2 linked regions of the Drosophila melanogaster genome follow. The protein of the gene in region 1 interacts with the protein of each later gene in a pairwise test. Each region holds a gene or a part of one and is shown on either strand. Other genes may lie near its edges. The genes, in order: Cpr65Ec and CG15080.

Evidence for each region.
Region 2: the proteins of Cpr65Ec (region 1) and CG15080 interact in a two-hybrid assay, tested with the Drosophila melanogaster proteins (one large-scale study listed by BioGRID).

Annotation. Positions count from the first base shown.
Region 1 is NT_037436.4:7,091,261-7,094,464, reverse strand, and holds Cpr65Ec (cuticular protein 65Ec), read right to left. Parts: upstream 1,262-3,204; 5' UTR 1,182-1,261; coding exon 1,170-1,181; intron 1,098-1,169; coding exon 726-1,097; 3' UTR 624-725; downstream 1-623.
Region 2 is NT_033778.4:18,781,280-18,786,479, reverse strand, and holds the start of CG15080 (uncharacterized protein), read right to left. Parts: upstream 3,182-5,200; 5' UTR 2,802-3,181; intron 1-2,801.

The sequences.
Region 1 (3,204 bases):
TTCATTTCGAAAAAAAAATAAAGAGATACCAACAGTATTAAAATGTACTATTTAATAAGGTTTCTAATATTTTGTATTTAATTCTAATCATTTTTACAATCAGTAATTTTTCTAGTTTTGCTTAACTTGATAGATCACAAATATTTTAAACGGCGCGCCAAACTCATCAACTGAGTTAAATAGATATCGATAGTTTTCTATCGTCTGCGTTTCGCTGTTACTGGCAATGAGCATTCACTGTAGTACCATAAACTTTTTAGGAGCCCTGGTTTCAACCAAACCGAAAATTGGCGCCAAAATTTGAATTCAAATTGAATTTAGAATTGTATGCTCCAAAAAAGAAGTAAGCATCCTTTAAATTGTAAGTAAAACACATATGAAACGCCAACTGAAATTGCGTAAAACTGTAAATTAAACTTAATTTGTACAAGCGTAAATGCACTCTACGTCGCAATACAATTATTAATAAAATGCAGTGCTAAATGCATGACTTTGAAGTACGTAAGTTAAAGAAAATGTCTTATTCGTAAGAACGAAATCACGAGTGTGATATTTTGGACTAGCAAATCCTTGCGTTGCCCCCGAATGCAATCTCTACCCAAATTCGACAACAGTCTCGACTTGTTTATGGAAATGGTTGATGGCTCAAACAAAGTTTATTTTCAAATGACTTAAAACTAGCTCGAATAACGCTCAACATGTGATGGTGGTGGTGGCAAGCCCATCTAGAATCGTCCTTGACCCTGGCGACTCTCCTGCTGGGGATGGGTGCGGATGTACTCCAGTGACTTCAGGATGGAAGCCGGGATTGGAGGAGGTGTGGGCAGATGGGCGCCGGCCGGGTGGTAGCCATTGCTGTCGGCGGTGTAGGTCAACTGGATGAGCTGGCCATCGGGGGCGTAGTAGGCGTTCGAGCCGCTGGCATAGTAACCACCCACGCCCGATTCCTGGCCAGCGATGCCATTGGACGTCTGGTACTGATAGGCATAGCTGCCATCCTCCTTCAGGTCGCTCTTATACTCGCGAGTCTCGGCTCGGGCGTCGAAGGAGTCGGCCTGGACACAGGAAACAGCCAGGGCGGCGACGGCAAGGACGAACTGTGGACGGATAAGGATAATGGTAGTTGAAAGAGTTTTCCTTCTGGTCGAACAAAAAAATCCTGAACTCACGAATTTGTTCATTTTTTTTTTTTTGTGAATTGGTGATTGGGCTGGGGGCTGACTTGTTGTCACTGTGAACTCGCAACGAGAATGAATATGACCGAATTGGCCTGGCATGGCATTTATAGCATTTTGGCACGCCAATCATTTTGGGCCGGGCACTCGCAGTCGCCGCAAAAACGCGTATAATTTGCAGCATTGAACCTGAACTGCCCCTCTCACAGATACGAAAAAATACCCACACACTGGCACTTAAAGACTCCGCTGGAGACTCTTCGCTGATTTTAGTGCTTTAGTGCTGTTGGTGTATGTGTGAGATAGTTTTTTGTTGCCCATAAACTTTATGCTCCTTTTTGTTCAACTTGTGGGTAGCCGGTTAATCAATTCTTGTGTCTGCGGCGAGGGGTTAATTTTTCATTAACACCTCCGCAAGTTGTTTTGGTTAGCGCAATTTGTAGCTGCCCCATCGCTTTATTTCCTTATAAAATGGTTAACCCGATTACTCGCAAATTATTTTAAAGCGCCTGGCTTTGTGGCAGGATCATTTATAAATGTTGCGCCTAGTCCCCGTTGCCAAATCATATGCGAAACTTTATAATAAATCGTTCGTAGAATCGGCGAAATCGATTAAGAACCTCACATGCTGGGTCAACGCATCCATTTATTACAAAATCACCAAGCGCGTCCAAAAATGGAAAAGCCAAAAAACCGAAACCGACGAAGTGGCAAGCAACCTTAGCTTGCTGCAAAAGCCAGACGAACGACCTTGCCACCAATATTGGCAGACTGTCCGAAAGTACGACAGCTTATCGACAGCCAAGCCGGCGAGTTTGTATTAAGTTTTGATAAGAAAACTTGCGATGAACCAACGACGAAGATGACGTGACTCACGGGGATCACGAAGCTTTTGGGGGAAAATTGGGGCTTTAACCTCGTTTCAATCGGAAAGTCTGATGACCTTAGATATTTGGGCAGTAAATTAGGCTGGGTATTTGAAAAGTAAAATAGAGCACCTAAATAGCACGTAATATATACATACATATATAGGTGCTAAAGTATATTGTCATATTTTGAATTTAAAGATGTCAAGAAAGTACATTTTTTTGAAAATTATTATTTTTTTTTGAATATCTTTACTATATCTATATTGTGCCCTTATTAAATATTTCAATATAGAGTATATATATTTTAAAAAAATGTATCTTAAATTTAGTGGCAGCAAACATTTATAAGTGTTTTAAACACAAGTCCAGAAATGCCACAACTATTATAAAAATTTATATTTCCATTAACAAACTTGCCCTTTTTTATGTGGGCCATATTAAAGGTGTCAATCTGCCATCGCTAAAGTGGCCAAAAGGCATCGGCTAGCGGCAACGAGCAGAGCGCACGCTGTTTCCCTTACAAGATTTGTGTTGGCCTTTCATAAGTACATGGCTGGAACGACTAGGCTGGCCAGTCCGGACCAGACCAGACCAGACTGCGTCTGCTGCTCGGAATGAATCTGATTCCGAGCTGGGGGGAAAAGTGAATGTGATGAGGGGCGATGTCGCATGGAGGCAGAAGCAGCAGCATCGGGAGCAGCATTATCTGCCTTGTGTTGGCTGCCCTCTGTTTTGCTGGCCTTTTTGGTGTTACTTTCGGCTTTTATGCCCCAAACCGGCTGTCCGGCAATTGGGCATATATTTTTTCTGTACATTTCTTTATATACATATATAAATCTTTTTTTTTTTGGCCAATACAATTGTCCGGTGCCTGCCGCTTGGGCGGCTTTAAATGAAAAGCAAAAGTTGTTGCGATTCGTTGGAGTTTCCTCTTTGCCATTGCCGGTTGCCTTAAGCCGCTTCCGCTATACTTAACCATCCTGCCCCTCGAGGTTTTGTCATTGCTGTTACTCCTCCTCCTCCTTCGCCTCTTTCAACTGCTCCTTCTTCAGATCCCCATCCATCCATTAGGGCATCAATCTATCTTCGCGCGCATTAAGCTGAGACAAGGAGCACCAGTGGAAAATGTACAAAAAGAGAAATGAAAAAGGGGACTTGCT
Region 2 (5,200 bases), on another chromosome or scaffold:
GCTAGGGGGCGTTGCTAGCCAGGCCTGCCGGAAAGAGCCACTCGATACCAGAAGGAAAACGGACGGAAAAACGCTGATTTCTTGTTCGACTAATTCCTCAAATTTTATGCCACAGCGACCTCGAAGAAATGTTTGAAATTATTAAACGAAATGTAAATTTCACGCAACGCAGAAAAATGAAAAAACAAAAACTTTCATTTCTCGCTGCTTTCCAAATGAGGTAAGTGGCTGTTTAGCTGGTGGAGGTGGCTTTTTGGTTTTGGTTTGGTATTGGCGGCACCTGCTCAGCAAACCAAAACATGCCGCAAGCATTTAGCTTGCGTAATCCCAAGAATTTATGCTCGAGCATTTGAAAGCGAAAGTATTTCTCCCTCGACATTTTGGTATGCGGGGGCGCTGTGGTTGCGCAACTCGTAATAAAAGCCGGATAACCGGATACAAGCGAAATTAGTGCCTTAAATATCACTTATCACCTGGGACATCGCAAATCGAATTGCGCAAATGATGGGCCAAGCTAATTACAAAACTATTGCCACAGTCGTCGTCGCCACTGAGCCGCAGAAAAGTGTCCCAAAACAATGTGACAATTGCAACAGAGCAATACTTAAGGTAGCTGCTAGTAGCTACTCTATATATATGAAAAACCATAAAGCAAGCGCTGACAAAACAAAGCAGCCGCCAAATGGAGCAGCTGAAGAAAGCAAGAGTGGCTCGGCAAATGTATAGCCACAAGTACCCGTACTTGTTGGCCACGTCTCGAGTGTGGGCCTCATTCTGGCCCAGACCAAACCAGACTTGTGCAACTCGGCAACTTGGCGAGGGTATCCACATAAACCGCCTGCCGCAGATAGATATATATACATATATACAGATATATATGTGCCCAGATGAACATTAGCAATCAATCCACATCCGTGACCAAGACACGGAGTGTGAGAAAAAATTCAGTAGGCCAAGATACTTCAACTTGTCGGTCTAGAAGGAAAACACAGAGACAAAACGGAGCAAAAAGCCCCAAATGGTTGCCTTGCTCTACCAGCCGGGTGCTGACTAATCAACTGTGTGGGTATTCCAGGGGTGCCGAAGGAGGATCAGGGGGTCTTACGGAGGCCGTACATGCAACTGCAAATCACGATTTAGTTCCAGCGAACCAGCAATAAATGCCCGGCCTGGAAGCCATTTGAATTGATTTTTTAGTTTTTACCTCCGCTTAAATGCACTTTGAATCTGATATTGCTGAATGCATTGCAATTACTCACATTTAGAATTCAGTGCGTGTCACTAGTGCGAGATAATTATGGTTTTGAAAGACCGCTGGGCATATTCGATATTGATCTTTGAAATTGAAATTCTCTTTGGTATGGCTAAATCATCTGGGATAATTTAAGTTGTAATATAAACAAAGGTATGGTTGCATTGATTTCTCAATTCGTGAGTAATCAACACCAAAACTTGTGCGCATTAGGATCTGCAACGCATTCCATCGAACAAAGCCAACTAATGAAGCAAGTTTGTGTCTTAAGTCTTTTGTTTGGCCCGCTGAGAAAGTCGTAATCCGGGCTCAACGCTTGACAAATTGAACATTATGCGGTTGAGTAATTGAAAGCCGTGAAAGACGAAGACCACACGGGTAGGATCGCTGGGCACGTGCTAAGTGACGAGTGATGGAAGCTTCTGCAGCTACGCAAAGTCATTCGCACGTTTCACTTTCATCGGAGGAAGGTGAGGGAGGGGTAGGAATATGAATTGGCGGCGGAGGAGGCTAGTGGCAAATAAACACATCAGGCGCCACATTAAGACATGACAATAAAGAAAAAGTGAGTCTGAGCAGTATTATATTTTCTTGACACTTTCGCGAGTTTTGTTTCGCCACTTCCCCCCTCACCACTCCGCTGCCAACCCATCCCTCTTTTATATCGGCTGGCATTGGCCGATGCGGCGGCTACGTGATTTCAGCCCGTTGCCAAAGGCTACGATATGGACTTTGCTGGACGTGCGACAGGCAATTGGCCGGCCGGCGGCCATCGCCTGCGTTTATTGTAATTAGAAAGTATTTAATTTCGAAAACGCTGTCCGCTCGCACATAAAAAAAAAAACAAAGTTCGCATAAATATAAATAAAGAAATACATATATAAAACGAATAAGACGCTACGGCGTAATTTATGATTTCCCTCTTCTGTTTGCCCTCATGTTAAAATGACAAACAAACGAATAAGTGTACACATTAGTTCCGTTAAAGATCAGATGCCACATCGAAGATTAGGGAAGAGAAATGTCTGGCCCTCGGAAGTGGGGTCTGTATGCAAATTGGCCTGATAAACAAGATTTTTCTTGTACGAAACATAAAATTTCTCCAGGTGAAAATTGGGTTAATGAAGTGGCAATGGAGATAGACTTAGAGATGTAGATGAAAAACCCAAAACGAACCCACAGAATACTGATGGACCAGTTTCTTTTCTTTTGGTCAGGGGTCTGGCCACCTTATCTTTTAACGAGGAAGTCTGCCCATAAAGCTTGACTCAACTTGACTCTCTAGAGGATGGACGGTTGTTTTGGTTAGATGTATGGTCCATAAGTCTTTGGGCAAACAAATTGCATGCCAGTTAACGAGTGTCGGTGGGCAAAAACAAAATGAAATTTCCAAATAATTAGAGCATGAAAAAATAAACAGCAAAATTGCCAAGACAGTCGAATGCGTTGAGTGTGTGGTTAGTTGAATGGAGAGCTGAAATTTCTATTCGCCTTTTTTGGCAAAAAAAAAAAAAAAATAAAATAAATAAAAAATAAAAACCCCACTTACCACTCTCCTCTATTGCTTCTTCTTCTTCTTCCTGAACGGCAGCTGTTGTTTCTCTTTCACTTGGCTTAATTTAATTAAGATCCTAACTTGCCCAACTCGCCAAATTAGCAGCAATTCAAGCGTTTTACTTTTATTTTTGTATATTAATTATATTTTCGATTTCTTGAAATTCACTTTGACTTTATCCACTTGAGACGTCAGGAAGCTCACGCACTTTCGGCAAAAGATGCAAAATCAAATGTCGTTGGTACCACTGTGCGTATACTCGATGCGTATGAGTGTTACACTTACAAATCAAGTTATTACTATCTTGCGTTAACAGTTAGCCGGAGCTGGTTTTTAGACGCGTCTGCATCGTTGGCGTGCCGTTAACAGACTGAAGAAATGAAAAGCGTCGCGGGCCAAAGTAAGTAAGAGTGGTTCGCTCGTGGTTTTCATCCAACTGCCTCCGTCGAAGTCGACGCTGGCCGAGCAGTTAGCAGATCAGTAGGCAGCGCAGTCGCAGTCAGCGTTAACGGCGCAACTAAAGCGGCTTTAACAGCTTTTGGGCCAACAAAAGACTTGGTCAAACAGAGCGGTATAGCTCCTAGCTAAAAATGATCCTCCAATGATTTGTTGTGGTTAATTGAAATTAACAAAACGGGGATGGGGATAGAGTTTTGCCAAGGGGGAGTGTCCACAAGAATGCACTAAATGCAAATCAAGTCGGCCATAAATGCTAACTTGTTTTAGCGTTAGTTGCGGCGATGCTGTTCCAGTTTTGCAATCTTTGCTGGCGACAAGTTTTTACCACATTTGCTGGGAAAATCGATCCGACTGTGTGGGGGTCTTATGAATCGTGCTACACCCCTCGCTGATATATGTGATATATGTGTATATGTGCGGCTATATGGCCAGACATAACAACAATTCCATAATTCTGACTCAGTGCCATGTGGCATTCGAGCCGTGCATCTAGCTTTTAATTGGCTTTTTAGGCTTTGCTCTGCAGCCAAGGTCGTTTTCTTGCTACACAAATTCCATTATGAGTTTAATTGAATTGTTTGTTTTGGTTTTTTTTTCTTCTCTCGTACGCGTTTCCTCGTATTTTTGTTTGTTTTGTTAGGAAACCTATAAACCGATTGACATTTAGCAATTAAAACGCGTAGAAACCATTTTTTCTTCGCTGGCCTTTGCCGCATTTCTTTTGTTACAAATTGGTTACAAACTTTATAAAACCTATAATAACAAAAAGTGCGAAATTGGGATTAAATATGTGGTTGAAATGTTTGCAATCAAGTAGCGCAGGTAGAAATAAATATTTAAATCTTTTTATAATATTTTCCAGATAATATTTTGGTGTTTAAAATACATTTTTGTGCTCAGCTTGTTGCCAAATATTTCTTTGGTCTGCTAGAATTGGCCTTAAAAAGAGGTCTTTTTCAACTTCTTTTGGGGCAATTAAAATATTCTCATGCCGGCAGCCGCACAATTTCCGTTAAGCAAACAATTGTCTAAGTGAGACGTTTATGGATCGTGGAAATCAAGTTAATTAGCATATCGTTCAGCGTCCGCCATTATCCATTATGCATTGGGTAACCCAAACGAGATGCTCGGACGCTTTTCAATCGCATTTTTTTTTCAATTTCAATTTTCCAGCGGCAATTGCGACGGGCGATGAGTGCATTGACAGGAGCAGCAACATCGTCGCCGCAAATCCAATCAGTCAACTTGTCATAACGCCTGCCCACCTGTCTGTCCGTGTGCCTCACCTGCCGCCTCAGGTGGGCGTGAGTTATGTGCGGACTGATGACGTACGAGGAAGGTTTCCACCTCATGGCCTAAGTTATGTGACGGGATCTCTTGGCGTTCGGAGATCATTCAACCGCGACTCGCGTCTTGAACTTCCGCTGAATGTTATTTAGTTGGCTTGCAACTCTGTTTCTAGAACAAAGCACTTTCACCTGCCTCGCAGATAGAGAATCAAATTCAATCGAATTCAATTGGCAGCCAATGGTTGGGGGACGGCAATTAGCGTTGACCTTTTCACAGGTGTCTCACTGAAATGGCTCACACGCCCAAGGTGGCGCTGCCAAATGGCAAAGGTAACAGATCGCGACCTTCAGGCCCCTGTTTATGAATGGCTTTTCCCAAGCTCTTTGCGCATTTTCCGCGACGTATGCGGAAAAGAGTAACGAGATTTGCATAAAATTCGACACGAATATTTCCCACACTCCGACATAAAATAGATCAACTTAATTGGACATGTTTTTATGGCATAATTCAGACCAATTAGACGTAGAATCTTTTGGGCCAGGTGCAGATAAACCGTCGCTTGTGATTCGCAACTGATGCTGATGCAACGCTGACAAGAAGACATAAATATCACTTATGCAATCGAAAGGAGAGAGCTGGATTGT